Linked DNA regions of Bombyx mori. The protein of the gene in region 2 purifies or fractionates together with the protein of the main gene of each other region. This does not show direct contact. Links are inferred from orthologs where the notes say so. Each region holds a gene or a part of one and is shown on either strand. Other genes may lie near its edges.

Region 1 (4,478 bases), on a different chromosome or scaffold from region 2:
ATGCAACTGAAGATCTGGTGCAAAGAACTCTAAGTACTCATTATATGGAAGCTCATTGGAGATCTGTTCGTCCACAAGAAGTGAGGTCTCGTAAGTCCAGCAGCGAGCTACATTTCTCAAGGTATATCTGCAAGTTCAAATCATTTCATTCATTTTAATGTTATCATGTTGTTTAATGTTATCAGTTCATTTTAATGATTAAGAGATAAAAAGGGGTGAAGCTCTGATATTTTTTATTAATTATTACTGGTGGTAGGACCTCTTGTGAGTCCGCACGGGTAGGTACCACCGCCCCGCCTATTTCTGCCGTGAAGCAGTAATGCGTTTCGGTTTGAAGGGTGGGGCAGCCTTTGTAACTATACTTGATATCTTAGAGCTTATATCTCAAGGCGGATGGCGCATTTACGCTGTAGATGTCTATGGGCTCCAGTAACCATTTAACACCAGGTGGGCTGTGAGCACATCCACCAATAAACAATAAAAAAAAAATTACTTATCATGTCAATAACAATTTATGAACATTTAGTTATCATTAAATAATAAAGAATACTCACCCTCCTCCGCCCACCACCAGGGTTGGCACATTTAAGTTTTTAACGAAATTCACACACTCGCCATGACCTCTAGTTGAGAGTGAGAAGCATCCAAGCCTATCGCCAGCCAGCGAGTCAGCACCGCACTGCAGTACTATCGCTGTAGGTTGATACCACTCCATCACATAGGAGATCACTGGTTTAAATACCTTTATTCAATTAAAAGAATGATCTATATTATACAGAAGACACTATACAGAAGAAAATCAAATTCGCAAAATTATAATTTGCGTAATTACTGGTGGTAAGACGTATTGTGAGTCTGTACGGGTAGGTACCCCCACCCTGCCTATTTCTGCCGTGAAGCATTTCGGTCGGAAGGATGGGGCAGCCGTTATAAGGTCATTATTTATGTTGTATGGGCTCCAGTAACCACTTAACACCAGGTAGGCCGTGAGCTGGTCCATCCATATACACAATAAAAAAAAAGATGAAAACTATTATAAATACTGTTGATTAAAAAAAAACATTCTATTAATTAAGATAATAAATCATCCAAACTGACCTGTATGTAGCTTTGATCATCTATGCCTTCTTTCAGTGGTACATTTACCGAATAATATCGTCCACTCTCTGCACCAATTTCATACATATCTCCCGTTCCAGGGAAGAAATAGTTCCCATACTTGTGGAAACTAACCGTCATGACTCGGTCAGTGAGGTAAAAAGCTTCTTGAACCCCATCTCCATGGTGAACATCAATATCTATGTACAGAACCCTTGGATGATATTTTAGGAGCTCTAAAATTGCTATTACTATATCATTGACGTAGCAAAATCCTGGAAAAAAAACAACCTTTCTGTTACATCTTAACAAGTGAATTAATCTATTTAATATTGAAAACAAGATCACCACTTATTAAGCTTAACTTGTTACATAAGGTTATAAAAAAATCACATTATGTGTTCAGTTTTGCATAAAAATACCAAATTTCATTTTGAAATAATTAAAATTGAGGTTCATATACCCTAAGTAATTTAAACATTTAATAATCACCGGAAGGTTCAAATTTCTTTGCATGATGCAAGCCCCCAGACCAGTTGATGGCAATGTCACAAGTGTTATTATTTAGCTTCATAGCACCTTCCAATGAAGCTCCAGTGTACATTGAGCAGAAATCGAAAAGACCTTCGAATACTGGACAGTCGTCTCCAACATTATAGTGCAAAAGATCTTTTGAGTAACCTATAATAGGAAATAAAGGGTCATAACTCTAAATTGATGGACGAGCCCAAAAGCCTCATCCTGGTTGTGGCCAATTGTGCTCCAATAATTAAGAGCCAATAAATATCACAATTTGAATAGCAGTGTGGCGGTACCCATCATACAACAGAAGATATTTGACAGATGCCTGAATCTCGCTTACAACATTTTCAAAATAAACTTGCATGTATACAAGTTCCGGACAACAACATTTGGAACGTCGGTCTACCAAGTAATATCACGTCGGGGTCACCAGTATGGAGGGATATACGACAAAGGGAAATTCTTCCACTGAGTGGGTAATGTATGATGGCTACCACCACAACACCACCCTTAAACCCTAGTCTACTTAAAATCTGGTTGGTTAAACTGTACTGCCATTTAAACTAAACTACACCAAATCTTTGTAGCAAGGTGTTATTTTAGTATTTTAGAATAATCTCACAAACTGTATATATCTTCAAAACTAATTTACCTAATTTACACAAAACTCAAAAGTGGCAGTGGCAGTTTACTTCAAATTAAAAACTTCATATACATATTTCGTATGAATATTTGATAGAAATAAGAAAGTGCTTCCCCAGGAGAGCAATCCTCTGGAACATGGGCAACCTAACAAATACTTCTGCATATGCATTTTCAGCACAACCACAACTCAGACAAAAGTGTCTAAGAAGATATAATATTTAGAAATGACAGTGTAAATTAGTCCAATATGTTGCATTCTTATTTCAATCATTCCGGGGGCACATTGAAACAACTCACTCTGTATATTTTGAGGAGTTACATTTTGCAGAAACTCTATGTAGTCCTCGCTGTGGAAACGGCACATATCGTGAGCGCTGGCCCTATACGGCTTATATATCTGCATTTTCTTATGAAGACCATACTTCAACACGAGACAATGCGTCACAGCCAGCCTGTGTGGTTTCATTGGATGCCCTGGACCGTAGTGGAAATTACCCACGTCCGGATTATAGAAATACGCTACCCTTTGTTGAGTCATAGTGGATAAACAAATACGAATTCTTTCAACACAAAAATAATACTCAAAATGACAACTATCACTATTAAACGCTTCGTTAACTGGACGTCGCCGAGCATGATTTATGCTGCCGCTTCATAATGCGTTAACAATGATGCAAAAGTCATCACTGCTTTAATTATAATTAACTATCGAGAACTGCTTTTTGGAAATCTAATAATACTAATGATATTAGTACTTTTTGTGTTAAAAGGTATGTTTTTATTTATGAATAATTTTTGATTCTTCCTTGTAAATTGTGAAATGTGACACAATTTGTAATCATTTCAGTTTTGGCATATTTTTTTCGTCATTTCTAGTTCGATAGGCAAAAGGAACATAGAGGCCTATGTTATTAACTTTAAGATTGAAAGCATCTTTGTATATTTTTAATAATTTTATTTCTACTCTGGAAATGAGAAACTTACATTGATTAGATTATTACGCCACGTATATGTTAAACAAAGAGGAAATCTCAGCTTATTCATAATTCATAAGAGACGTCGCGTCGCGTCGTACTGAATCGAGAAACACGGCCAGATAAGTCATTCAAGAACTCTTATAAACAAGAATGTCAAGAATGTTTGAAAAACGCTATCGTTGGGTTGATGCACCACCTGCTTAGCTCGTGCAAATAAGGAAAAAGGAAAGAAGAAGACGGGAATACGATAAAAAATTCTTTCATCAGTTTGAGAGTGAAGTATAATTTACGTACAAAGTAAATTTTGAGCATGCTGAAACACGACTCGATGAACAGATGCAAAAAAAACTGTGCTTGTGAGTTGCTGCAAAGCTAAATTTAGTCGAAGTCGTAGAATTTCATTAGTAATTAAAGATTATTGATAAACAAAGTATCAAATTATCAAAATCTCATAGAAGCTGCAGACTTTTTGTCGTGAACATATGGTGTAAAGATGCATGAATTGTTTTATTTGATATATAATATCATTTTATTTTTCACACTACAGAAGCAATTTTGTTCTTGTCACAGTAAATTTCTCTGTGTTCCCTTTGCCTACCAATACACGAACCCAACTAAAAAACCTGTGGTCGGTACGGTCCGGTATTTTATAACCTGTCAAAACTTTTTGTTTTGAAAATCTGCATCTACCTTTACTTTAACAAAAACTTGAACACAGTTGTTCATTTGTTTCAAGAATAGCTTTTTCAGTATATTAGGTAAGTCTGTCATATTTTTTAAGCTCACAGTTCTTCTTAACTACATTACAATGAAAATCAATTTATATTTTAGGTGCTAGATCATTCTAGATGTTTGTTAGTTTATTTTATTTGCAAAATTACGTAATTAGTGATACTTAAAATTTGCAATTCTTTATCATAAGGTGACAAGAATAGATAGGAACCTACCTACTACAGCGCGATAAACTAAAACTTTTTACTGGGTAATGCTGCCTCATCCTTCTTGACGCGGTTTTATCAATATCTACATACCAAAATAGAAACTTAAACAATATAGTATTTTCCACAGATAACACACTTAATATTTAAAGAGTATTCTCTTCGGCTTAGGCGAATCTTAGACATAATTAAATCTGTCTACTTTTACCATTTAATCTCGCATGAAGCAAATTCGAAAACATAACAGTATTCAAATGTCGAAGAATAACACCTTAAAGCCGGCATATACGGGCTACTC
Region 2 (4,612 bases):
TGTTTTTGTTTTCTACCTATGCTGATATCCTTGAGAGGCTATTTCAGCTTCTCCTTGTAGTTTAGCTCACGAGGCTCAAACCGGTAGTGTTGCCAACACTGGCCCTAGCAAGTTGAGTGATGGTATTTACTATCTTCTATGAGTTTTATTATAAATTAATCTTTCGAACGGTCATGTAAAGGTTGGGTACTTAAAAATTACAAAAATAATTCAGTCGCTACTGAATTCAGTAGCAAGGATGGTTTCTGACTGACTAAATCATTTAGAAGCCTAATTAGAAATGCATCTAGGAAGGTGTAATCGCATTTAGTTACTTAATGGTTTCAGTCGTCCCATAGCTCTCCGTGCGTAAGAACGTTTTAGTTTGTTTTTTGCTTCCGAATAAAAAGTATTGATTTCGGTCGCCTTTATTTAATGTGCCAGACATTTATAAATAGCCCGACATGTTTCAGGAATAGTTTTTGTCATAAAGGGTTGGGATATTGAAAAACTAAATTTTAAATCTTGATACGTATTTCCTGTTGCAAGAAATCTTCATGTTACAACCAATCTTTCTTTTGGACTTATAATATCGTAGGATTAGATATGTAATAGTTATAAAATAGATATATAATAGACTATCGTAGGATAATATCCTGCTTTTGAATAAACGGTGTCACAAGTTTTAATATTAGGTCAAACGAGATCGAATCCATTTATAGATAATTTCTGAAGTCTGCTGGTTCTAAATCACTCTAATGTTCATATTTGCTAACATTCCGCACAGCAATAAATATTTCTTTACCGATATTCTTGTTTTTTTTTTGAGAAATTGAAATAAAAAATAAAAACAAAAAATTTGTTGTTGTCTAGACAATACTGGGGCCATCCTCTTACGCACACGACACGTCTTACTTCGTCGCGCTTAAACTGACAATTGATTCAGTAACTGAATTTAAAACAGTTTAATCAGAAGCTTCTAAATTTGCTTCTGAAGTCAGTCGACTAAATTCAGCCAAGTGTAATAAGCCTTTAATCACAAAATACCATAGATAAAAAATACCATAGATACCAAAAACTAAAAAAAATAGTTTATTTTTCACAACTTACAATGGCAACATAAAAATTATATAAAAAATATTAGCATACAGCCTAGCAAGTGAGATAAAAAGAAGTAATATCTCAATAACTTGTGGTTAAATGTAATTGTAGTTGGTGTTGGTTGGTGTAAATTTGCTGAAACTTAACGGACTTGAACAAATGAGATGGGAAGCTACACTGACTTAACTTGACTTACAACTTAACTTCACTTAACTTAAAAAGTCCATATTTCTGTTTTTGAACCCAAATTAGCAATAGAATGAAGTGAATAAGTTTTTCTTATTAATTAGCTTTTAATTTTAAATTTGCAGAAGATTTCTCCACTAAATTTTAAAAGAAATCACATTGAGTAAACTGTAGTCAATGCAATGCAACGTTCAACAGGAGTTCCGCACTAGTATTTTCTATGACCATAGACTAAATGTGTAAGCTTTTTCAAGCTTCATGAAAACAACGGATTAGTATGTATGGTAGTGCGTTAGATTGATTGCGCCGCAAATTATTTTCTCGGGTAAGTGATTCACTTTTTAAGTTATTGAAAAATTACAATTCTAACGAGTATCCCTACACTTAGTACACGTTTTGTGATTAGTGTAATGAATGTACTTGTAGTAAAATCTGCAACAAGATTGCGGGGTGTGTGCTCTATTTAGTGGTTTTAAACAATTAATGATGTAATTGCCCAGTTTGTAGTTAAATGCTTAACCGAATTATAGTATTAAAAGTAGTTTTTACTAGCATAATTGTTAAGTCGGTGTTTGTTAAACAAACAAACAATTAGGATATGGAGGTTAGAGTCAGTAGAGTCTGTTAACACAGAGTTTTGTTTCATTTTCAGTGTTGTATAAGGTGAGGAATGAATGTGGATTAATCAAAATAATTTTGATTTTGGAAAAAAGGGAACAAATTAACTAAATAAATATATTTTACCAGAATGGCAACCTTAGAACAACAGGCATCTAAACTTTTGGATTTCAATCAAAAATTGGACATCAATTTATTGGACAACATTGTTGGCTGTTTATATTCTGCTGTTGGGGATCAACAACGTGTTGCTCAGGATATACTGACTGCTTTGAAGGAACATCCTGATGCTTGGACTCGTGTTGATACAATACTTGAATATTCTCAAAATCAAGAAACTAAATATTATGCATTACAAATATTAGAACAAGTAATACTAACGAGATGGAAAATATTACCAAGAAATCAGTGTGAGGGTATAAAAAAATATATAGTTGGCCTTATCATTAAAAATTCATCAGATCCTGTTACGATGGAAAGCAACAAAGTTTATTTGAAAAAACTAAACATGATCCTTATTCAAGTTCTGAAAAGAGAATGGCCCCATAATTGGGAAACTTTTATCAGTGACATTGTGGGTGCCTCAAAGACGAATGAAAGTCTCTGTCAAAACAATATGGAAATATTCAAGTTGTTGAGTGAAGAAGTATTTATGTTTAGTACAGGCCAGCTCACACAAACAAAAGCTAAGCATCTAAAAGATACAATGTGTTCAGAATTCAGTCAAATCTTTCAGCTATGCCAATTTGTCTTGGAAAATTCACAAAATGCACCTTTAGTTGGAGTGACCTTAGACACTCTTTTGAGATTTTTAAATTGGATTCCACTTGGTTATATTTTCGAAATGAAATTGATAAGCACATTGATATTTAAGTTTCTGAACGTGCCGATGTTTAGGAATGTAACATTGAGCTGTCTTACTGAAATTGCCGGTGTCACAGTCAGCAATTATGATCAGCAGTTTGTTTATTTGTTTGTACAAACTATGGAACAACTTGAAGTTATGCTTCCTCTAACTACAAACATACGTGAAGCATATGTAGCTGGTCGAGATCAGGAACAAGTTTTTATTCAAAATCTTGCACTTTTCTTATGCACATATCTAAAAGAGCATGGTCCGCTCATAGAAAAGAGTGGATTAACAAACACTTTAATGAATGGTTTGAGGTATCTTGTCTTAATATCAGAGGTAGAAGATGTAGAAATTTTCAAAATTTGTCTTGAATATTGGAATGCTCTTGCTGCTGATTTGTACAAAATTGCGCCATGTTCGTCAAACTTGTACCATTTGGGTAAAAGTGGAGGCCGAAAAGCTTTGTATGCTGATGTCTTGAGCAGTGTTCGGTATATTATGATCTCGAGAATGGCAAAACCAGAAGAGGTGTTAGTTGTTGAAAATGAAAATGGTGAAGTTGTGAGAGAATTTATGAAGGACACAGACTCCATTAATTTGTATAAAAATATGAGAGAAACATTAGTTTACTTGACACATTTAGACTATTTAGATACTGAACGTATTATGACAGAGAAATTACAAAATCAAGTAAATGGTACTGAGTGGTCATGGAAGAACTTGAACACATTATGTTGGGCAATTGGATCTATTTCTGGAGCTCTATCTGAGGATGATGAAAAGAGATTTTTGGTTATTGTGATTAAAGAGCTTCTAGGTCTCTGTGAACAGAAAAAGGGAAAAGATAACAAAGCTATAATTGCTAGTAACATAATGTATGTCGTAGGACAATACCCACGCTTTCTTCGTGCACATTGGAAATTTTTAAAAACCGTTGTCAATAAACTTTTTGAATTCATGCATGAAACACATGATGGTGTCCAAGACATGGCGTGTGATACATTCATAAAAATTGCTATAAAATGCCGTCGACATTTTGTCACTACTCAAGTTGGAGAAGCCTGTCCTTTTATTGAAGAAATATTGGGCACCATTAGTACTATAATTTGTGATTTACAAACATTGCAAGTTCACACTTTTTATGAAGCTGTTGGATACATGATCAGTGCCCAAGTAGATCAAGTAGCCCAAGAACTTTTAATTGAAAAATACATGCTTCTGCCTAATCAAGTTTGGGATGATATTATATCTCAAGCTTCTCGTAATGTTGAAATCTTGAAAGACCCTGAAGCTGTTAAACAACTTGTAAGTATACTGAAAACAAATGTGCGTGCATGTCGTGCACTAGCACACCCATATGTTGTGCAATTAGGAAGGATATACCTTGACATGCTTAATGTTTACAAAGTAATGTCTGAAAATATAAGTCAAGCCATAGCTTTAAATGGCGTAGCAGTTACTAAACAACCTCTCATTAAGAATATGAGAATAATAAAAAAGGAAACTTTGAACCTTATTTCAAGTTGGGTTACACGCTCGATTGATAACAGTATGGTTTTGGAAAACTTTATTCCACCTCTTCTCGATGCTGTGCTTTTGGATTACCAAAGGACTGCTGTTCCTGAAGCTCGTGAGCCTGAAGTACTGTCTTGCATGGCAGCAATCGTGCACAGACTTGAAGGACATATAACTTCTGAAGTACCAAAAATATTTGATGCAGTCTTTGAATGTACTCTGGAAATGATTAACAAAGACTTTGAAGAGTATCCAGAACATAGAACAGAATTTTTCTTATTACTGCAGGCGGTCAATACAAACTGTTTCAAAGCATTTTTGAGCATACCACCAGCACAATTCAAGTTGGTTTTAGATTCC
Region 3 (4,328 bases), on a different chromosome or scaffold from region 2:
AATTGTGCTAGTTACTCTGTGCACTAAACAAATTGGTGAAATGGATCCCAATTGTTGGGTAAGTTTCTTTGGAAGACACACAACACTGTCCTTAGATAGAGGTACAATTTCCACACTGAATGTAAATTTGTAGTTGTATATATTGCTATGTATGTCATGCGAAATTAGTTTCTTGGAATGTTGACATTTTATAGGCAGAACAGATTGAATAAAATCAACCATTTTGCGCGCATGATTCTCTGTTGAATAGAAGAAATCTAGTCCATCTGAAATTATTTAAAAATATGATAATTGACAATAAACATAATTAGATTTGCCGAGAAAACAGTGGTATCGGTTCTTTCATATCAATAATATCATTTATAGATTAAAATTATATATCAGTATTCACACTAGTGTTAGAGTTTGGTCTTTATTTTACCGCCATTAGAGTCTGAAGTGATCGCCCTCACCTATGATGAACAGCTATGACAATGACAATATCAAATCACTGGCTACCAGTGATGCTTTGTTTTATGAAATAATCTATTTCCCATGTTTTATAAGGAAAATCAGCTACAGTATTGATTCTACAAATCTGAAGAGTTCTAAAAATACCATAACAATATGCCAATCTATACTAATATTATAAAGCTGAAGAGTTTGTTTGTTTGAACGCACAAAACTCAGGAACTACTGGTCCGATTTGAAAAATTCTTTCAGTGTTAGATAAGTCATTCATTAAGGAAGGCTATAGGCTATTTAACGTCACGGTAAGGCCAATACAAGTGAAGCACCAATAAATAACATCCTATAATTCAAAAATATTTTCAATTTCTACGTAAATGAAGAGGCAGGTAAAATGTAGCATTATGCCAAAGTAATTATTCCACGCGGACTGAGTCGCGGGCAAAAGCTAATTAACAGATAAATCTTGTGCATTCTATTGTGATAAAAGGCAAGTTTTAGAAAACTTTACATACCATGCTTGGGCTTGATCCCTAGAGTATTTTCATGAGCCTTATGCTTCAATATCAATTGTTCAAGATAGTAAAATGTTTTCCTGTTATTAGCTCTTTGTCGTACTTGCACTAAAGCACGCCAGTAATCTTGAGCTTCTGAACGATGGCAAGCATCGCACATTTGATGTTGAATTGTAAATTCAACTATAAATGTCTGCTGGAGCACTGCTCCTCCGATAACTTCGCCTTGTACAGTTAGTTTTACCTAAAATTCAAAAGAGTTTAATAGCAACATCAAAATAGAAATAATTTAAAAAAAACCTTCAAAATATCTGATAACAATTACTGCATTTATAGTTTTAGCAAAAAAAGTTATATTTAATATTTTTGTTTGGTCACTGTTACATAATATCAATGTAAGCTGGTGACACAGCATTCATAAGTATATTAGTTGTATTCTTTTTAAGTCTTAGAATGAGAACCATTCTCAATACCAAATAAATGTTGCCCTGGACCATACACTAATGGCTAAGTATTATTGTTTGTATAAAGAAATGTATTTAATTTGGGAATGTTAATGGTAATCTATTTGGATACTTATTTATTTATATTCAATATTGCAAAATGTATGCGAAAATTTTTAATTATTGAACCAGTAATTTCAGACAACGTAGATTGAATGAGCAATATTGTCCTTATATTTAATAATTACATTTGTGAATATATTTGAGACTGACTGAAACATATTGATAATATCTGTTTAATATATTTTCCTTTTATTTTAACTTTTATTTTCTTATGAATTTTAATACTCATTTTGAACTCTTTATTCTCAATCAATACAATTAATGTTAATCATTACTTGAAACCTTTCTCACTTTAATTCTAAAACTGGATAGGAAGTATTCTCACTATTATTGGATACTTCTAGATATATGCAAACAACATATTTGACAGTTCAAGACAGTTAAATCATCAAAATACCTTTATTCTCTTCGAATGTGGCTCAGTCCAAGCAAAACCAGCATCAATTAACTTAACTCTGCTCAATCCTTTTAATCTCTTGAGACAGAGAGCTAAGAGTTCACGTGACTCTAATGCACACACAACCCACTCAGAGGGTGGTTGCAAATATCTAAAAAAAAATTTTGATGATATAACTTGAAAATTACATATATTTTCAATGATGATATGCAAAATTGTGAAGAGTTTCACGTTTATAAATAATCAACAAGTGTTTACTGACTTCATTAATATTTATTTTATAAAACATCAAAAGAAGAAAGAGAAAGTCTCTCGCTATTGCAATGGATTTGCTACTGGAGCTAAACCCAAACGAGGATTAACGTCAGGCAGACGGCCAGTGCAAATCTCTGGTGAAATTGATGCCCTATGCAGCATGATAAGAAGACATAGTGGGCTGCCGCATTGCACATGCCATTATAAGGGGTCATATAATGTGAAATAAGTGCAAGAAGCAAATTATTCACCATCTCCTTATAGATATAGAGAATCTGCCAGAAGATCTAAATTATAGTACTTAATAGTAAGTACAGCTGATTCTCAGAAAATATAACGACAGAACAAATTGTAAGACTGTTTACTGTCACAGTTTCAAATTCAGTGTAATTATCCACGTTTTTAACTTCTTTCTGTCTTAATCAGATAATATTACCTTTCACAACCCCTACAGAAGAATAATGTCGCTTGTTTGGGTATTCCATCTGTGATGTCTACATGAGCCCTTAAACAAGCTACACACATATTTGAGGGGTTTGCTTCTATAGGTACAGCACACTGACAGCACAATCTGTAATAGACATTTTATTTTCTAAGTGCTCTTGAAACTATTCGAAGTGTAATAGTGTTTAATAATCCTATATTTACATAAATCACTAAAACTCCTATTCATACATACATTCGTGTATTGTTGCTTAAAGAAGCGTTTTCTGGAGCAAAGTATTCCATCTTCATTTAGACTCAACACACGCGACACAAAATTTAGTTTCTAGTCACTGTTTAAAGAAAAATGCTTTTCACAGTAGACCAATAACAGCAGGTTTGTACGAACATAACCTCTTCATTTTTTCTTTTTTTTTAGGGATTTTATGACCTGATAACTAAGACTTTTAAGTCATGTTTTATTTTAATTTATATTCATATTTTTATGCAAAATGATATGGAGTGAAATGAAATGAAGATGATTAATTTAAGACATTAATCAACTGGAATGAAATGAAATTAAATGAGATGAGATGATATGGGATGAAATATAATCTTAGTAAAATGATGGTCAATATTTACTGGTGGTAGGAGCTCTTGGCCGTTTTCCAATTACAGCACAAGAGCGCATTATGCGGCATATTGCTCAACTAATCTTCAGCATAATTCGGCATTATGCGTCACTGAGTCGCATTATGCTCTGTAATTAACCATTACTTAATGGTAGTTTTCCAATCATAATGCGACTCAGTGACGCACAGTGCCGAATTATGCTGAAGCTTGGTTGAGCATTATGCCGCATAATGCGCTCTTGTGCTGTAATTGGAAAACGGCCCTAGTGAGTCCGCGCGGGTGGGTACCATCACTTGAAAGCTATAATGGTAAATATTAGAACAGACTGATCAATGACACGTTTGACATGCTCATGATGGTGCAATTCCAAGAATATTAGGATCTTAGGGTTAGAATATTAGGATCATTTTATGCATTTTGAAGCCTTAAAGCCAAGTTAGATTTTCTAGACCGTAATAGGCATCACATCACCTACTTGGTATTGGGTTCCACCCTTTTTATACGATTTGTAGAATTGTTGTTACTATAAATTTTGCCAAACTTTCAGACATATTAAATACCTTCTATGCCTTGGCTACATTTTTGCCTAGTCTTGTAAATAGTACGTTAGCTCCTCAGTCTTAATAAAATTCTAGTTAACGCAATTAATGGTTATAGTCCAAATAGCATCCATATATTTTATTGTAGCTTTAGGTGCATAATATTTTGAATCCAGAAAATTCTAGTTAACGCTATTAATGGTTATAGTCCAAATAGCACCCATATTTATTGTAGCTTCAGGTGCATAATATTTTGAATCCAGAAAATTCTAGTTAACGCTATTAATGGTTATAGTCCAAATAGCACCCATATTTATTGTAGCTTCAGGTGCATAATATTTTGAATCCAGACCAGTTCGATTTTTTTCTATGTATTTCGAAGCGAAATAAATAATTTTCAGATTCAATTTCATATCGAATGTGTCGAATCAAAGTGACTCAAACTGCTTTCGCGACTTTATCAGATCTAGACAAATTTTTACGTCTTCTTAGCTTTCATGGACCCATCAAAAAGTTTCAAGACTTAAAAATGTTTAAACCAAAATTCAAAATC
Region 4 (4,651 bases), on a different chromosome or scaffold from region 2:
GCTAGAAATGGGCTGATGGCTTTGAACTACGCCATATCTTTATGTTTTGCGACAAACGACAACTTTATAAAATCAGTGTAGCAACTTTTAAAAATCATCATATCGTTTACTTGGCAAATTCGAAGGACGAACTTGTCTTAGATTTCACCCATCTAAATCATATCATATTTGCACATAACAATATACCTACTTACTTCCCATTAAAGTATAAATTCTACAAATAAATAATACTCAACAATATTTAAAATAAAATGAGCCAAGAACGTTTATCGATAAAACCTGATAACATTGAAATCTTTTGTACAGCACTAAAGCCGCCATGTTTTGTGGCCAGATGACGTCACAGTGGCACGAAATTTTGGTTGACGTTTCATTTCCATAGGTTTCCTACTTCATTGGTCACTATGGAACCTACGAGAATAAGTACGGCAGATAAAATATTAAGTAGGTAGGTATGCAGGTAGTCAACTTACTTTGAAAACTTTACGCCTCATATTTGTGCACTTGTATACAATGGATTGTTATTCAAAAAGTTTAAAACCACACACACCACGTCTGAGATAGTTTTTTCTTTTCTTCTCAGTCGTACACTCCTAGCGGAGTGGTCGTGGTTATGTACGTCTTATTTAGACATTTCCATAACTCTCATGCGAAAATAGTAGCAGTGGCTTAATAAAATAAATATAAATAATTAAAATAGTGTTCTGATATAGTAATGCGAGCATGAAACACGAATCTACCTGCCGAGATAAACAGTGGCTAACAAGGTAACCAAGGGCCCCAGGGCAAATAAAAAAATGGGGCCCCACTACTATGTAAGCGGATTAGGTTTTATGAAATAAAAATAATATGAAATATACAAATACTTTAAAAATGCTAAGCTACTTAAGCTCTTTTTTTGATTGCTGACGTGGCAACGCATCGCCATGCACAAGCGACTGTCTCATTTTATTATTGTATTTTTCATATTCCACACCAATTTTCTATTCTAAGCTATCCATATAAACATCTATACTTGTACAAAGTAATATCAATGTTTCAAATCTACAAGCTTTACCGCGATGGCTCGTTTTTTCCTTTCCTTTGGAACACACCATCAAACTCGACTTTGGAACAAACTTGCTTAATTCAGGATGTGGCAAAAGATATGGATGATTTCATCTAAAATTGTTATTGTTATCATCCAACTGATGTTATCAAAAGCGATTTAAAGGTATGGAAGAGATTGCCTTTAAAAATCACATACAGTAAATTGATTTGAATTGAACAGAGTATAGAGAGTTGGATTGGAAAGATAATTTACGGTTTCACATTTATCGTTAGGATTCATATTAGGTGACGAGAAAAAATGGGGTAATTAAACATTGTTAGGTATTTTTTATACTATGTACTATAAGAATATAGTTTTAGCTTTTAAATGCCTTATCTTTCTTCTTTTGCCACGATTATCTTTCATATATTTTTCCTTTCCGACACTCATTTTCTAGAATTGGTTGCGATGAGAACACGGGAAAAAATATGCTTGCAATCTGCCTGGCTTGAGATCTCACACAAGGTTTTCAATTCCAGTTTAAATCAATTGGCTACGTTTCTTTTGCCAGTCTGATCGGACATAACAAAAAGTGACTTTTGACACATTGAAGTTTGAACGAATGATTAATATCTCGATAAATCTTACTGTTGGTAAATTTTCTAACGGCGGCAAACAGTAGTGCTTACTAAACATTTATTGAAATATCTAAATATACATACTTCCATCATTTAAACTATTTTACTTTTACATAAGTTTATCTATAGTTTACAAAATGAGTTTTTCTTTTGGAACTACTACAACGTCGTCTAATACTTTTGGTACACCAACACCATCAACAGGTAAATTCTTTTTGGTTTGATTATCATGTTCCAATTTGAAGCTTTATAAATTGAAATACTCTACAATACGATTCGAACTACGATATATATGTTTTTTTAAACAATAATTAAATTGTCAATGTAAACAATATAACCACACTTTTTTCACGTTAAGATCAAAAAATTAATTAATTGGATGTAATTACAGGATTTTCATTTGGCAGCGGTGACGCTTCAAAGCCGTTATTTGGTGGATCCAACACAGGTACGATGCGTACAAAAACTTCCGGTAACAAATACAAGCGATATTTTAAATCTGAATTTTTCTGTTACAAGTAACAAAAATAGACAGTAAAAATTTAAGGGACTAAGGGAATTTAAGGCACCACTGTTAATAAATCAAGATTTATTAACAGTGGTGCTGGTTTCTTAAACCAAGAGACATGGATATTTTCAGAAAAGATGAAGTACACTCATTAGATATCCAAACATGAATCGAATCCCAAAAGCATATAGAAAATGCAAATAATATTTTTAATCTCTCAGAAAACAAAGCAACATTCAGCTTCACTAGTCCCACAACAAGTGCACCAGTATTTGGCAGTTTTGCATTTGGTGCTAAAACAACAAATGCAGCACCTTCACCATGTAAGTAATGGCCTTTGTTTACTTAACGCTGAATATACTGTATGGTTGTAATTAAACCATAGCCAAAAGACATGCAAAAGATATTTAAACAACTATTAACACTCCTAGCTGACATGTGAAAAATTATTTAAAAAATTATAATTATCCCTCAAAGGGGTTCTTAAATGATCAATATTTCATAAATATTTATTTACACTCAGATCCTATGTTCTAAATACAATTTTCATACAAGTTAAAGTTAAATTAAACTCCAGGAATGAATCTAACACTAAAATAGAATTGACCTACAAATAACAAAATAACATAGTGCTTAATCAAAATTATCACCACACTACTGAATCACAAAATGTAAGAGCCTTGAACCTTTCCTGCCCTACTCTTTATAGACAATGAGAACCTACCTGCTCAAAAAGAGGCTTACATCAAACATTACGAAAAACATTCTACTCATAACAAATGCCTCTCACACTTATGTATTGTATGGCAGTTTCATCTCCATCGACAACGACTACAACTGCAGGCTTTGGAGCGAATAAGCCAACACCCTTTGGAGGTTTCACTTCACCTCCTAATCAGACAGTTGGCAGTTCTGCCTTTGGGCAAGCAACAAATCAGGTGTGTACAGTAATTTTGTTGGGAGCCTGTTAAACAAACTATTCGTCAGTTTGGTGTGATGTCTCCAGCTGCGTTTATCGATCAATACTGTATTTTGCATTTCACCAAATTAAGTGGAAAAAAAATCAGTTATATTTGTAAATTTTACTGGTGGTAGGACCTCTTGTGAGTCCGCGCGAATAGGTACCACCGCCCTACCTATTTCTGCCGTGAAGCAGTAATGCGTTTCGGTTTGAAGGGTGGGGCAGCCGTTGTAACTATACTGAGATCTTAGAACTTATATCTCATGGTGGGTGGCGCATTTACGTTGTAGATGTCCATGGGCTCCAGTAACCACTTAACACCAGGTGGGCTGTGAGCTCTTCCACCCATCTAAGACATAAAAAAAAAAAAAAACAATGTTCTGCCATTGTTAAATTGTTGTGAAAAAAATGATATCTTTTCTTTCTTAGTTTGAGAATGCTTACATTCTACTTATCTTTTCTTTCTTAGTTCGAGAATGCTTACATTCTACATAACTCTTATATGTCGTTCACTGTGCTCCTTTGCATGTGTTAATGCCTTGTAATGCTAGTGAATATTTCACAGAATGCAGGACAGGCCCAGAATCTGTCGTTTGGTGCAACCACCACAGCACCACCGGCATTCGGTACACCTGCCACACAAGGTTGGTTATAAATATAATAATATTATAAATTTATTATTATAATGAATATATAAATGATATTATACTAAAATGACGATTATAATGGTAACACAGCTTAAGACCTGGATTGACAAATATAATTATTTTGACATGGCAGATGACATGGATAATTATAAATTTAAAATTAAAAAAAAGGATAATAATATTGCTTTTGTAAATGCACTAGCGCTCAGCTTTTGCTATTATGAAAATTGGACTTAAAGTTCAGAAAAGTTTTAAGTCATTGTTCCTTACAAACGAAATTTATAATTACTTCACCAGTACGTCTTGCTTGCATCAGTAATAAAGTGAACAGAAATTTTAAGAAAAGGAAATGTATGAACATGTTGTTTTAGCTGCTGCCCCAGCATTCGGTTCCAGTGCAAATACAGGTTTTAGCTTCGGGAAGCCGGCATCAACGACAGCTGGCTTTAGTTTTTCAACACCTACATCTGGTTTCTCAGCACCGCAAGCTAGTACTGTAAGTTTTTGTTACAATCCCAAAAAAGAAATCGTTTTTAGATCATCTCCAGTTAATTCCTTTGTTTGTCTGTTATTTTTGTTGTTAAGTTTAAGGTACAAAGGTAACTATTCTAAATCCAACTTCTGATTACAATAATTTGTTGAAACCAGGAGACAATGTCAGTCTGTATATAGTAGTTACCTAGTTGTAAGCATTAACACTACACTGTTTCTGCTGCAAAGTAATCATGCACTCTGATTAAAATTAAATAGTTATAAAAACTATTTTACAAAGGTAATTGAAAGCCTTATAGCTCAAAGTGTGCTCCAGGAAACATTTAGGATTAGCTAACATTAGCAACAGCTCAAACGTAGCCAGGTTGTGTTGGT
Region 5 (3,364 bases), on a different chromosome or scaffold from region 2:
GGTCGATTGTTTAACATAAGTAGTTAGAATACTGCTGTTAGAGTCTTATAGCTCATTAGCGAATTTTGATAGTAAAACAAAATAATATTAGAATCTGCAGTTTCAAGACAAGAAATGCGATTCTAAATATACTAATTGTGTCTTAAAAGCTAAAATGGATTGTGGAAAATATTAATTATTGACGATACAAAGAAAATGTTTTAACGTCTGAACCTTGTATTAGAACGGTTAATATGAATTTAACCGGAGAGTTGCTAACACTGGCCCTAGCAAGAGCAGTGCTTCGCAGAATCTACCACCGGATCGGAAACGCGACCCACTGAGAAGATCCGGCGAGAAACTCAGTGGGCTGTGTCTGTGGGTTAGTTAGTTTCTCTCCGGTTGAGCCCCGCGAGCTCACCTACTAACGTTAGGGCGAAGCTGAAATAGCCTCTCAAGGCTATCAGCATAGGTAGGAAAAAAAAAAAAAAAAAAATGAATTTAAATAATAATTAAATGTAAAACTTTTGATACGAATTTCGGGATATTTCTTAAAATCTTTTACACATGAGTCTATCGTCACGACAGAATAATGTTCGCATGCACACGTCAGACGAGTTAATGATATCGGCCCAACCATCGCCAGTGCCACTGACATGTCACCACGAGAGCCCTGTACAGAACTAAGCCCAAACTGTCGACCATATTGCCAAATTACCGAATGACGTCCAAAACACTAATTCTTAGATACGATCGAAATAATAACAGGATCCCAAACTATTGACCTTCAGGTCACTTCACAAGATTCATCCGACGAGGATGCAATCAAAGCTACTTCTACAGTTCTCGTGGTCGTCGCCCGTGACCAGCTGCGATGGAGAAAATAACAATGTCAATGGACATGACAATGCAAACGTACTACAATAAAAGTAGTTTTGATCGCGTCCCCGGCTCGTTGAATCCGTAAGAAACAATTATAAGCGAAACTGTTGACTGATTATTCTTTTTAAGGCTTCAATACGCAAAAATCAAGTTAAAAATGTATTTTTTGATATCAGACTAATTAATAAATTAGTGATATAAGATTTAATTCTACTATTGTTGTTTAGTTGTAATTAAGACTTTTTAAAAAATCGATCTAAAATAACAGTTCCAGTTACAGATATTAACTCGTCTCGACAGATTTAACTTATCTTTGATCGTGTTTTTAGTACACAAATTTTCACTGGTGGTAGGACCTTTTGTCAGTCCGCACGGGTAGGTATAACTACCCTGCCTATTTCAGCTGTGAAGCAGCCGTTGTAACTATACTGAGACCTTAGAACTTACATCTCAAGATGGGTGGCGGCATTTACGTTGTAAATGTCTATGGGCTCAGGTAATCATTTAACACCAGGTGGGCTGTGAGCTCGTCCACCCATCTGAGCAATAACAAAAAAAAGTGTGTATGTGTGTGTAAGTCCCACACGGTACAAGTGAAACTTATAAATAAGATATAGATAACCTGAGTATCCCACTACACAGGAGCGTACATATGGACAATGTTTAGTAGACGATAGTGGGGATGCCACGAAGAGTCTAATGTGTTCTATCTCATTCTCTCGCCGGCTAAATCCTATACAATCATGTGTTTGTGTCTCTATGGACTTATTTTTTCGTTTCATCGAGTTTGAAATCACAACGTTTCACTTCAATAATCAGTCAACCGTTCCGATCTGTAACGTTTACAATGAATGAATGTTTTTGTGGCTGGAGTTGGGTGCCGTGGTGGGCGACGTCGCTCAGCAGGCGGGCGCGTGCGTGCCGTTGTGCGGGTCGGGTTGCCTGGCGCGCGGCTCCGGCACCTCGCTCTTAGACTCTTCCTCAGGTTTCGTTTCTCTTTCGTCTGCCTCGTCTTCCTCGGATGATTTCTCTTTTTGTACCGCGTCTGTTGTAAGCCAAACAATATATATATATATATTTTATTGCTTAGATGGGTGGACGAGCTCACAGCCCACCTGGTGTTAAGTGGTTACTGGAGCCCATAGACATCTACAACGTAAATGCGCCACCCACCTTGAGATATAAGTTGTAAGGTCTCAGTATAGTTACAACGGCTGCCCCACCCTTCAAACCGAAACGCATTACTGCTTCACGGCAGAAATAGGCAGGGCAGTGGTACCTACCCGCGCGGACTCACAACAGTTCCTACCAACAGTATATTATTTATTATATAATAAACATGTATAGTAGAGCGGTATTACACCAGTATTTACACAGTGAAGTTCCACGCTAAAGACACTACTTTTCGTTGACTCGTTACTGGCGGTAGGACCTCTTGTAAATCCGCGCAGGTAGGTACCACCACCCCGCCTATTTCTGCCGTAAAGCAGTAATGTGTTTCGGTTTGAAGGGCGGGGCAGCCGTTGTAACTATACTGAGACATTGTAATTCATATATATCTCAAGGTATGTGGCGGTATTTACGTTATAAGTGTCTATGGGCTCCGGTAACCATTTAACGCGAGACAGGCTATGAGCTCGTCTACCTATTTATGCCATAAAAGACAAATGTTATTTCGTTACTATTGGACCTGAAGACTGTGGTACTCATGTTGCGGTGCTCCCCATACCCCGCGTCCACTCTGCACCCGCAGTTATTATTGTCTAAACAATTCCCAAGCTCACCGAACTCAACCCCTGACCTTACTGCCCCAGTTTTGTCGGTCGGGACGCGACTACTAAATATCACTCACCAGTTTCATCAACCTCCATGGGAGTCTCTTTCTCATCTCCGTTCACTTTCTGGAAACATAACAAACAAACACACAATCATTATATGACATATAACAGCACAATATTACTTCTAGTAGATATCAAATTTTAGTTCAATTTTACCGTGTCAATAAATATGAACCGACGTTTAAAAGAAAACAATATCAATATGTTGATTTTTTTTTATTGCCCTTGTAGGCAGACGAGCATACGGCCCACCTCATGGTGAGTGGTTACCGTCGCCCATGGACTTCAGCAATGCCAGGGGCAGAGCCAAGCTGCTGCCTACCGCTTAATACTCTCCACAAGCCACGTTTGAAAAAGGACATGTCATAGCGCTCGGGAAACACCTTGGAGGGGAGCTCATTCCATAGCCGGATAGTACGTGGCAAAAAAGACCTCTGGAAACGCACTGTGGATGACTGCAGTGGTTCCAGGTAGTATGGATGGGCTCAATTAATAAGATACTAAGTCACAGCATATAATACTTTGATTTTGAAAATATGACAATAGTTTCTATTCTACTTAAAAACATATATTTAAATCAAACAATACAACTAACTACCGATTGTTACTACCCCACACCGGTTCAAAAACAATATATATGTCACAAACATTACAATAAAAACGAA
Region 6 (4,639 bases), on a different chromosome or scaffold from region 2:
CAAGATTACTAAACAGTTGGGCCATTTTTACATATAATGCTGTGAGTGACCTATTCCTAGGTAAATATTTTTAAATGTTACTATTTTGTATCAATTATTTTAATACTCTGATAAATATGTGAGTCAGGGGAATATGGAAATAAGAAGGCTCATTGTCTGTTGGGACATTTCCCAAGAAATTTTATGGAATTATCCTGCCAATTTTTTGCTATGTAAAATTATGTCTTTTAAAAAGATTAGTCAACTATAAGTATATTTTATTAAGGGATATTTTACTGATTTTGTTATAAACAGTATAGGAATATAATATATGTTATCACAAATTTAACTTATGATAAAAAACATCTTTACTCATTTCATCTACTTAAACAAGCACAATTCAGCAACAGTACTGCCACAGTTTGATTTTATATAGCTGTCAAGTTTCCATGGCTTAACGCTAATGGTAAACTGTGTTATAGGATATTCAAAATATCTTGGGGTGTGACCCCAAAGATACTGTCTACAACATTAGCGTTACCTTATGTAGATTTCGTGATCATGAAACCTGTTCACCAGTGGGTTTCCTTTGAGGTATAGCTCAACTAGCGGTAATGATCTGATTGGGTCCAGTGATCCAAGGAATGGAATCTGGAAAAGGTTTAAATGATAATTAATGTACATTATTGGTTTTTTAATAGCATTCATATATTTTTAAAGATGTCTTTCGTTTACTACATTTATTTTATATTTTACTAATGTAATGCAAATGATGAGTTAGTAGAAAAATACTTACACTACACAAAATTGAGAAAAATGTCTACCTTAACAATCAGATATAGTGCATGTGAAAACAAATTAATTGCAAAGATTGTTAGTTGGGGTATATAATAAAGAAAAAAAAAACCACAAATTTATTTGTCAAATGTAGATAGGGATTTTGTATCCTACCTAATTACTGTTAGCTTGTGGGGCTATTCAAACTATGCCTAGATAGGAATGTGCACTGAAGATGATGATATGAATATGAATCAGTCATTTGAAATTTTACACTGGTCTAAATTGTCGTAAATGTATTTGTCTTACCCTATTATCGCCCATATACAATATTTTCAAATTCTTGAGCTTTGAAGACAAAACCTTGAGATGCTGCAAACCATGAAGCTTATTATCATTTAGGTTCAAAGCTTCTATGTCTGGAATATTCTCTGCTATTATATCTATAGCAGCCAACATTATCATTGGACGGAACAGTGCACAAAATATATCTTCTAGATCTGAAAAATAGTATTATTTCAATATTCACCCAGTAAAACTATTGTCTTTACATTCTATAAAATAACTGGTTATAAATATTGTTGTTACATTGCTGCATTATAAAAGGGCAAACCAGTATGCGCTCTTAAATAGATTATAGCTTATGTGGGCCCATAAGAAATTATTCCCAAAAGTCTAGCTTATTATATCTCTAATTGAATGAAAAAGAAATTATAATATGTATTACTAAGCTGTTTACTAACAAGTTGAATTTTAGACATTGCAATGAATGTATTGTAAATAATGAATATGTAAAGCAATAACAATATAATTGGACAATCACCTGGATCAGCATGGAATTTTGTTAAATCTAATGCCTTAGTTGTAGCATTATACCTCTTCGCCATTGTCAATTTCATCTTCTCTTTCATGGCAGCGTCAATGGCCATGTTTGGAACAGCATTCCTCACAATAACAATTAACTTAAAACCATCTGACATAGTGATCTTTCTATCAGCATTATAAAGTTTTTCAGCTGTTTTGACATCATCAACATAGAATACTGCAGCATTTCCATTGACTTTATAGTAATGTGGAATGAATATGTCGGGTGAAAGAAAACCCAACAAGGCTCGGAGGATAACATCTTTTTCATGTTTTGCTCCATATGGAATGATTATTTGGTACCAAGGCAGTACACCAGGAATAAATTTCTTTTTAGTGTGTCCGTGGCTTCCTTGCGGAGCTGGAGAGTACATTCTCCCACGTCCCCTGAAAGAACTTTTCCGGACCGGTCCTTGAAGAGCAGAACTACCCATGTCAATATCATCATCAAGGAGGGCTAAAGGATTTTTCCAAGTTCGAAATTTATTTTTTCCTTTAGCTCCAGGTTTAAAACTGACATGTCTCGGCACACTATTGACACGGTCATCGTGTTCTGAAAGTATATCATTTGTAAATCAAGTATTAATAGTCAATAACTTTAAAAACTCATATATTATTCATTGGTATCATGAACTTTATGATGCATGATTTTGCCTTTATGTATTAAACATAAGTAGCGCTAACAACAATGGAATACATTATTTTTTGATAATTCACTGTAGGAACTACAAAATCACAACAGAATATAAATAAAAGTGTTCCACTTACCAAAATGGTCAGTATCAGCCTTCCAATTTCTATTCCTTCCACCGCCACGTTTTGGCATCGTGTCGAAGAAGCTTTAATCACCAGTATACAAATACCGTGAAAGTAGTTCTTTAAGGTTTCCTTATTTTCTCACATGCGTGTAGAATAGTTAACTGAGATAAAGCCAATGATAATTGAATAATAGCTTTTTTTAATTAACAACGCAAATTACAAAAGAGTTAAACAACTTTGATGGTGTAAAATTACCCTACACTCAATAAATTTTAAGTATGGTTAGTTAAATTATATATTTGGACGTTATTAGCAATCCAAATATTTCCAAAATTAATCACCAAAAACTAAATAGCGTCTCTCTTGTGAATCTTAAACCTGTTCTTTTTCAATGTGAAACAAAATGGATGGCGACATTTGTAGATTATACACCTGTATAACCTATGGATTACACTTCGTCTTTATTTTTGGCTCCGTACGGTTTGTGCATTAGCCAGCGTCAAGTAAAAGATTTTTATGTTTCGCTGTTTTAATTATTGAAAATAGTTTATGAATAATAAAAAAAACGAAGGAAGGGTCTCAAAGGAAATGTCATATTTAAAAATATAATTTTAAAAAAAGTAAGGAGTTTATTGAAAAAATGTTTATTACATATTAAAATACACTGTTTTGGAATTTATTTTTTAAAAATGACATCGTCGAAATGTAAACCGTTGCGTTCAGGGCATTCGTTTAATCGAGCACTAAAATTGCCTATGACGGCTCGGCAGGTGTTCTCCGTGATGGCTTTCGTGATAGATATTTTCTTTTAATTGTGTGTGAAAGTCGATTTGTTGGTGTAAACTTTGGATTTGATATAACCCCACAGGAAAAAGTCCATAGATGTCAAATCGGGACTGCGTGGAGGCCAACTTATGTCACCTCTCCTGGAGATCAATTTGCCAGGAAAAAATTGACCTCTGACCAGTATCCTGAAGTTTTAATTCTTGCACCAACTGAATTTGTACGGGTGCAGTTTTAAATCTTTATGCAAAATAGGGCATCACGACGATCTGTGCACGTTTAAGGCCACCGCACGCTTCTCAATTGAAAGGTTCAGATCGTCCCGAATAGACTGGGCAACACTGTCTACGTTTTCGAGTGTTCTCGAAAATCTTGGACGACCGGATTTTGGTTTTTCCAGGTTATAGTAATAAGCAGAGAAACGAAAATTATAAAAGAACGAAATACGAACCTAACATTACAAATGGTGAAAAATAAAATTTATCAAAAAAGCAAATAAGCATAAAAAATGTCCCTGACAATGACTCGTCAGGGGAACGCACATAAATAAATAAATAAATAAATACTACCATAAGACGAATTGTTGCTGAAGGCAGATCTAACAGAGATGTATTTAGTACGCAGGGCAAAAAGAGGAAAGGTGGTAAAAATACTGCGCCTTCCTTATCTTCCTCTTCTGATAAAGACTTTTTTATGGATGTGCAGTATTTGGAACCATTTTTAAGTTTTTTTTTTTTTTATTTTTTTTTTATTGCTTAGATGGGTGGACGAGCTCACAGCCCACCTGGTGTTAAGTGGTTACTGGAGCCCATAGACATCTACAACGTAAATGCGCCACCCACCTCGAGATATAAGTTCTAAGGTCTCAGTATAGTTACAACGGCTACCCCACCCTTCGAACCGAAACGCATTACTGCTTCACGGCGGAAAATAGGCGGGGTGGTGGTACCTACCCGCGCGGACTCACAAGAGGTCCTACCACCAGTAATTACGCAAATTATAATTTTGCGGGTTTGATTTTTATTACACGATGTTATTCCTTCACCGTGGAAGTCAATCGTGAACATTTGTTGAGTACGTATTTCATTTGAAAAATTGGTACCCGCCTGCGGGATTCGAACACCGGTGCATCGCTTCAACACGAATGCACCGGACGTCTTATCCGTTAGGCCACGACGACCACTAGTTCTGATAGCCTATAATTAATTTATAAATTCATGAAGAGTAATTGGAGTTTTCATCTAAATTTCGAACCCCACATTCGCCACAGTAAGATCTTCAAAAATTATCCTTGATCGTTGATTTGTTCCCTTTTTGCCATCAGATCCTGGTAGACCTATACCAAACATGAATTATATTAAAAATTATTAATTAAATTTATTGCAAGAGTGCTATCACATTGCAAGATTAGAAGACTAGTGAATTTTTCAGTTCAATCAGAAGTTGTGGAGAGTATTAAGCGGTAGGCAGCGGCTTG
Region 7 (3,898 bases), on a different chromosome or scaffold from region 2:
CAGGTATTTCAACTTTAAATTAGTCTACTGTAAAGTTCACTCATTGTCGTTTTTTTTTTATTGCCTTTGTTGGCAGACGTGCGTACGGCCACCTGATGGTAAGTGGTTACCGTCGCCCATGGACTTCAGCAATGCCAGGAGCAGAGCCAAGCGGCTGCCTACTGCTAAAGTCACTTAGTCATGTTTGCCTTTCAAGCGTCGACTTAGTTCATAGACATCGAAAAACTCGACAAGGCAACACTTAAGCACCAATATCAGTTATAACTAGGAGTGGGTGATATAAATCGTATATAGATTCAATATCTATATATCGCAGCAATATCGTTGAATCCGATATCGCTCCGCACGAAATCCATATATCGATATCAGCCGATACACGATATTGCTCGATGTGATGCGCATCGGCATATCGTACCGATTCGTGAATATCGGCAATATTCGTTTGGTTCGTATCGAATCGGCCAGAGTGAGTGAGCGCACGATAGGGATATCATGTGATGAATGAAACAGAAACAGGCATTATCCATACAATTGTAAACCTTATATTTAAGTCCATATGTCTGTAGATTATTCTTAGCGTATCAGCAGGATACAATTAAGGAAAGAAGTTTCAACTTTCGACCCTAACTTGAATGCAGTATAGCCTATTTGCATCGTTGAATTTAATTTCACGCGCTTTGACCTTGAACTAGAATTTTTGGACAAGTGTTTATAAATACTTAAAAGTTTTTTGTGTTTGATTTTTAAAGTACACATTTTTTTATTTTTAGTTGAATCCAAATAATTGAGTTTATTTCTTGTGTTTGTATTAAACTTTTGAAATCTACACTCTTTTGGTATATTTTGTAATTTGAAATTAAGACACAAAATACTAAAAACTGAAAATAATGTAGCCAGTCCTAAGCCTGGTAAAAGCATGAAAGAAAGTTTTTTTGATATTTTTATTTTCATGTTCTTTTTATTACTTTAAGATCATATTATAAATTGATATCAGAAAACCAACCGTATAACGTTGACTTAAATCTATATCTACTACGATATTATATCAGCGTATCGTTTCAAATCTCAAATATCATGAATCGAGAAAATCTACTAGCATCCATCAATATATAGATTCAGAAAATATATAGATTCAATATCCGATATTGATCCTCGATATATAGATACGATTCGATACGCGGCAAAACCGATATTACCCACTCCTAGTTATAACCGACCAAACTCACCTGTATATCGGATTGTATCGGAAGGTCATTGGACCACATCTGGTGATCGTCGCGGAACAACGAATTAGTCAATTCCATAGAGAGTCTCTTCTTGTAATCGTGGGGCTTGTCTTCGGACATGCGGAACAGAACGGCTGCAGCGTACGTGGCGACCCCTGCAATATTCACACATCAACTCCTTCAGAGATATGTTAACAATGTTACATGTTTCTTCCATCACTAAAATTTTCCATATTCCCGCAAGTAGAACAAACCTCCTTAAATATTCCCCTTTATCAAAGATTGGTAGTAAATATAACCAAATATGTGCATTAATTGACGGCATCGACATTTTTAACGATACGTGTCCTGGTCTCAAAAACAAACTAGTATCAAAGTTCCTTTGTTTATAATTGATGAGAGAATGTTAAGTAGTTAACTATTGTTTTCATATTATTTTTAATTTTTTGTTGTTTTTTGTCGTACTGTTAACATTAAAATTTAGCCTATTTTTCAGCTGTTTGTAAAATTGCTGTAACATGTCATAATGTGTTATAAGAGATTGCTGTACATGCCTGTAACTGACTTACATACAGTACTTAATTTTATACATGTTAATTTTAAGCTTGAATGTTTTGTGTGTATTGCTGTTGGTGTGTCTAAATAAATAAATAAATAACACACAAAGTTCTTATGAAGGATTGTTCAGTATAAAATAAAAATTGGTTACTATCTGGTGTTTTCAATTATTACTGTTTTAAATTTACTAACATATTTAAAGACATGTACCTAAATGTATGAGAAAATAATGTAAAGATTAAAGGGAGAATGTGGTCTATCGAAGGAAATATCATAGATTTTAACACTATGTTAAGGCATAAATTTACAAAGATTCTATTCTGATAACCCCAGTTTCGCTTCGAAATCGAGAGCGAATACATATTCATTGAAATAACATCTACTCGAAACATATTCGCAAATTTTCTGCTGAGCTGCGTGTTTATTATACATCTATACTTAATATTATAAAGCTGAAGAGTTTGTTTGTTTAAACGTGATTACCCAGGAAGTACTGGTCCGATTTGAAATTTGAATTCTTTCAGTGTCAGATAGCTCATTTATTGAGGAAGGGTATAGGCTATATGACATCACGCTAAGACCAATAAAGAATGCGCTGCGGGAACGGTTAAAGTTACGCTAAAATAATGTATGACAAAATTGTTCCCATTTAAAACATTCTATTTTATCAAAAACATTTTCCCTTTCTACGTAAATGAAGAGGCGAGTAAGATTTAGCGTTATGCCAAAGTAACTATTCCACGCGGACGAAGTCGCGGGCAAAAGCTAGTAGTATTATACTAATATCCAACCTTCATTTCTTGAATGCAGCAATTCAGTGAGCGGAGCGGTTGCCCCTTCGGCTTCGATCATTTCTGCTCCTTCTTTCTCTACGGCCAATTCACAGAGCACGCCGGCGGCAACGCGCTGTTTACAAAGTTCATATGAGTATAAGTACCACATTTCATGTGTATATAAGTATATATTTTAATGTAAGTTTATTAAGATATAGCACAATCCAGTTCGCTTATTCCTCTCCCTGCAAAGTTGCCTGGAAGAGATCGCTTTCAGCGATAAGGCCGCCAATTTATGTCACCGACTATTATTTGTTTTATATGCTTACTCTGTACATATAGCGTTAAATAAAGTGTTATATTATTATTATTTCAAATTTAGTTTTAAAAGTTTCCAATAGAAGAATAACACGAACCTGAATATTTTCAATCTCATTGAACAACAGTTGCACGAATATCGGAATGACGTTCTGCTGTCGGATAAGTTGTCTGTTGTGGCTTTCTTTGGCTAAAATATGCAAGGCTCCAACGGCGCCTTCCACGATCTCCTCCATACGAACGCCGTCAGCGTAAGCAGTATTGGCTCCACCGCCCGAAGAGCTGCGTTGCTATATTGGTAAATAATAATTGAATATAAGTAAATATTTACTGGTGGTAGGACCTCTTATCCGCACGGGTAGGTACCACTGCCCTGCCTATTTCTGTACAGCAGTAATGCGTTTCGGTTTGAAGGGTGGGGCAGCCGTTGTAACTTTGTAACTATACTGAGACTTTATATCTCAAGGTGGGTGCCGCATTTACGTTGTACATGTCCATGGGCTCCGGTAACCACTTAACGCCAGGTGAGCCGTGAGCTCATCCACACATCTAAGCAATAAAAAAATAGTGTGAGTGAAATTGTAGTTAATACACTCTGGGTGGTGATGTCTTGGGTCGAATGGTCGAATCTGAGGTAGGTATTATATTTTCTTTAAATCCATTGCGTTCACAAATTCTTATTCATTTTATTTGGTAGTAGTTACTGGTGGTCGGACCACTTGTGAGTCCGCGCGGATAGTCACCACCGCCCTGCCTATTTCTGCCGTGAAGCAGTAATGCGTTTCAGTTTGAAGGGTGGGGCAGCCGTTGTAACTATACTGAGACCTTAGAACTTGTATCCCAAGGTGGGTGGCGCGTCTACGTTGTAGATGTCTATGGGCTCCAGTAACTACTTAACACCAGGTGAGTTGTGAGCTCGTCCACCCATCTAAGCAATAAAAATAAAAAAAAGTTTATTAGTTAGGTGTGATCTTTACGACCATGATTAGTTAAACCATCTTCTTGATTCTCTCTACTTAAGAT

The links.
Region 1: the proteins of exportin-1 (region 2) and histone deacetylase 3 purify together in Homo sapiens (affinity purification with western blotting; 3 studies listed by BioGRID, with this or other methods). This does not show direct contact. The link is inferred for Bombyx mori from reciprocal best matches to the Homo sapiens genes XPO1 and HDAC3.
Region 3: the proteins of exportin-1 (region 2) and 60S ribosomal export protein NMD3 purify together in Homo sapiens (affinity purification with western blotting; 3 studies listed by BioGRID and IntAct, with this or other methods). This does not show direct contact. The link is inferred for Bombyx mori from reciprocal best matches to the Homo sapiens genes XPO1 and NMD3.
Region 4: the proteins of exportin-1 (region 2) and nuclear pore glycoprotein p62 purify together in Homo sapiens (affinity purification with western blotting; 4 studies listed by BioGRID and IntAct, with this or other methods). This does not show direct contact. The link is inferred for Bombyx mori from reciprocal best matches to the Homo sapiens genes XPO1 and NUP62.
Region 5: the proteins of exportin-1 (region 2) and regulator of chromosome condensation purify together in Homo sapiens (affinity purification with mass spectrometry; 3 studies listed by BioGRID and IntAct, with this or other methods). This does not show direct contact. The link is inferred for Bombyx mori from reciprocal best matches to the Homo sapiens genes XPO1 and RCC1.
Region 6: the proteins of exportin-1 (region 2) and nuclear RNA export factor 1 purify together in Homo sapiens (affinity purification with mass spectrometry; 3 studies listed by BioGRID and IntAct, with this or other methods). This does not show direct contact. The link is inferred for Bombyx mori from reciprocal best matches to the Homo sapiens genes XPO1 and NXF1.
Region 7: the proteins of exportin-1 (region 2) and armadillo segment polarity protein purify together in Homo sapiens (affinity purification with mass spectrometry; 3 studies listed by BioGRID, with this or other methods). This does not show direct contact. The link is inferred for Bombyx mori from reciprocal best matches to the Homo sapiens genes XPO1 and CTNNB1.

What each region holds. Positions count from the first base shown.
Region 1 is NC_085122.1:11,622,399-11,626,876, reverse strand, and holds the start of histone deacetylase 3, read right to left. Parts: upstream 3,129-4,478; 5' UTR 2,804-3,128; coding exon 2,563-2,803; intron 1,780-2,562; coding exon 1,591-1,779; intron 1,374-1,590; coding exon 1,099-1,373; intron 743-1,098; coding exon 555-742; intron 128-554; coding exon 1-127. UniProt on the Homo sapiens protein: Histone deacetylase that catalyzes the deacetylation of lysine residues on the N-terminal part of the core histones (H2A, H2B, H3 and H4), and some other non-histone substrates.
Region 2 is NC_085118.1:10,175,593-10,180,204, forward strand, and holds the start of exportin-1, read left to right. Parts: upstream 1-1,431; 5' UTR 1,432-1,591; intron 1,592-1,918; 5' UTR 1,919-2,014; coding exon 2,015-4,612. UniProt on the Homo sapiens protein: Mediates the nuclear export of cellular proteins (cargos) bearing a leucine-rich nuclear export signal (NES) and of RNAs.
Region 3 is NC_085115.1:7,001,492-7,005,819, reverse strand, and holds the start of 60S ribosomal export protein NMD3, read right to left. Parts: upstream 3,047-4,328; 5' UTR 2,916-3,046; coding exon 2,860-2,915; intron 2,752-2,859; coding exon 2,617-2,751; intron 2,077-2,616; coding exon 1,926-2,076; intron 1,207-1,925; coding exon 963-1,206; intron 267-962; coding exon 1-266. UniProt on the Homo sapiens protein: Acts as an adapter for the XPO1/CRM1-mediated export of the 60S ribosomal subunit.
Region 4 is NC_085134.1:6,717,594-6,722,244, forward strand, and holds the start of nuclear pore glycoprotein p62, read left to right. Parts: upstream 1-1,628; 5' UTR 1,629-1,805; coding exon 1,806-1,872; intron 1,873-2,059; coding exon 2,060-2,116; intron 2,117-2,397; coding exon 2,398-2,499; intron 2,500-2,986; coding exon 2,987-3,114; intron 3,115-3,702; coding exon 3,703-3,781; intron 3,782-4,155; coding exon 4,156-4,280; intron 4,281-4,651. UniProt on the Homo sapiens protein: Essential component of the nuclear pore complex. The N-terminal is probably involved in nucleocytoplasmic transport.
Region 5 is NC_085130.1:7,886,454-7,889,817, forward strand, and holds part of regulator of chromosome condensation, read right to left. Parts: intron 2,763-3,364; coding exon 2,714-2,762; intron 1,907-2,713; coding exon 1,761-1,906; 3' UTR 1-1,760. UniProt on the Homo sapiens protein: Guanine-nucleotide releasing factor that promotes the exchange of Ran-bound GDP by GTP, and thereby plays an important role in RAN-mediated functions in nuclear import and mitosis.
Region 6 is NC_085124.1:4,529,364-4,534,002, reverse strand, and holds the start of nuclear RNA export factor 1, read right to left. Parts: upstream 2,832-4,639; 5' UTR 2,447-2,831; coding exon 2,389-2,446; intron 2,174-2,388; coding exon 1,580-2,173; intron 1,257-1,579; coding exon 1,066-1,256; intron 631-1,065; coding exon 521-630; intron 1-520.
Region 7 is NC_085116.1:12,310,540-12,314,437, reverse strand, and holds part of armadillo segment polarity protein, read right to left. Parts: intron 3,166-3,898; coding exon 2,974-3,165; intron 2,691-2,973; coding exon 2,576-2,690; intron 1,382-2,575; coding exon 1,227-1,381; intron 1-1,226. UniProt on the Homo sapiens protein: Key downstream component of the canonical Wnt signaling pathway.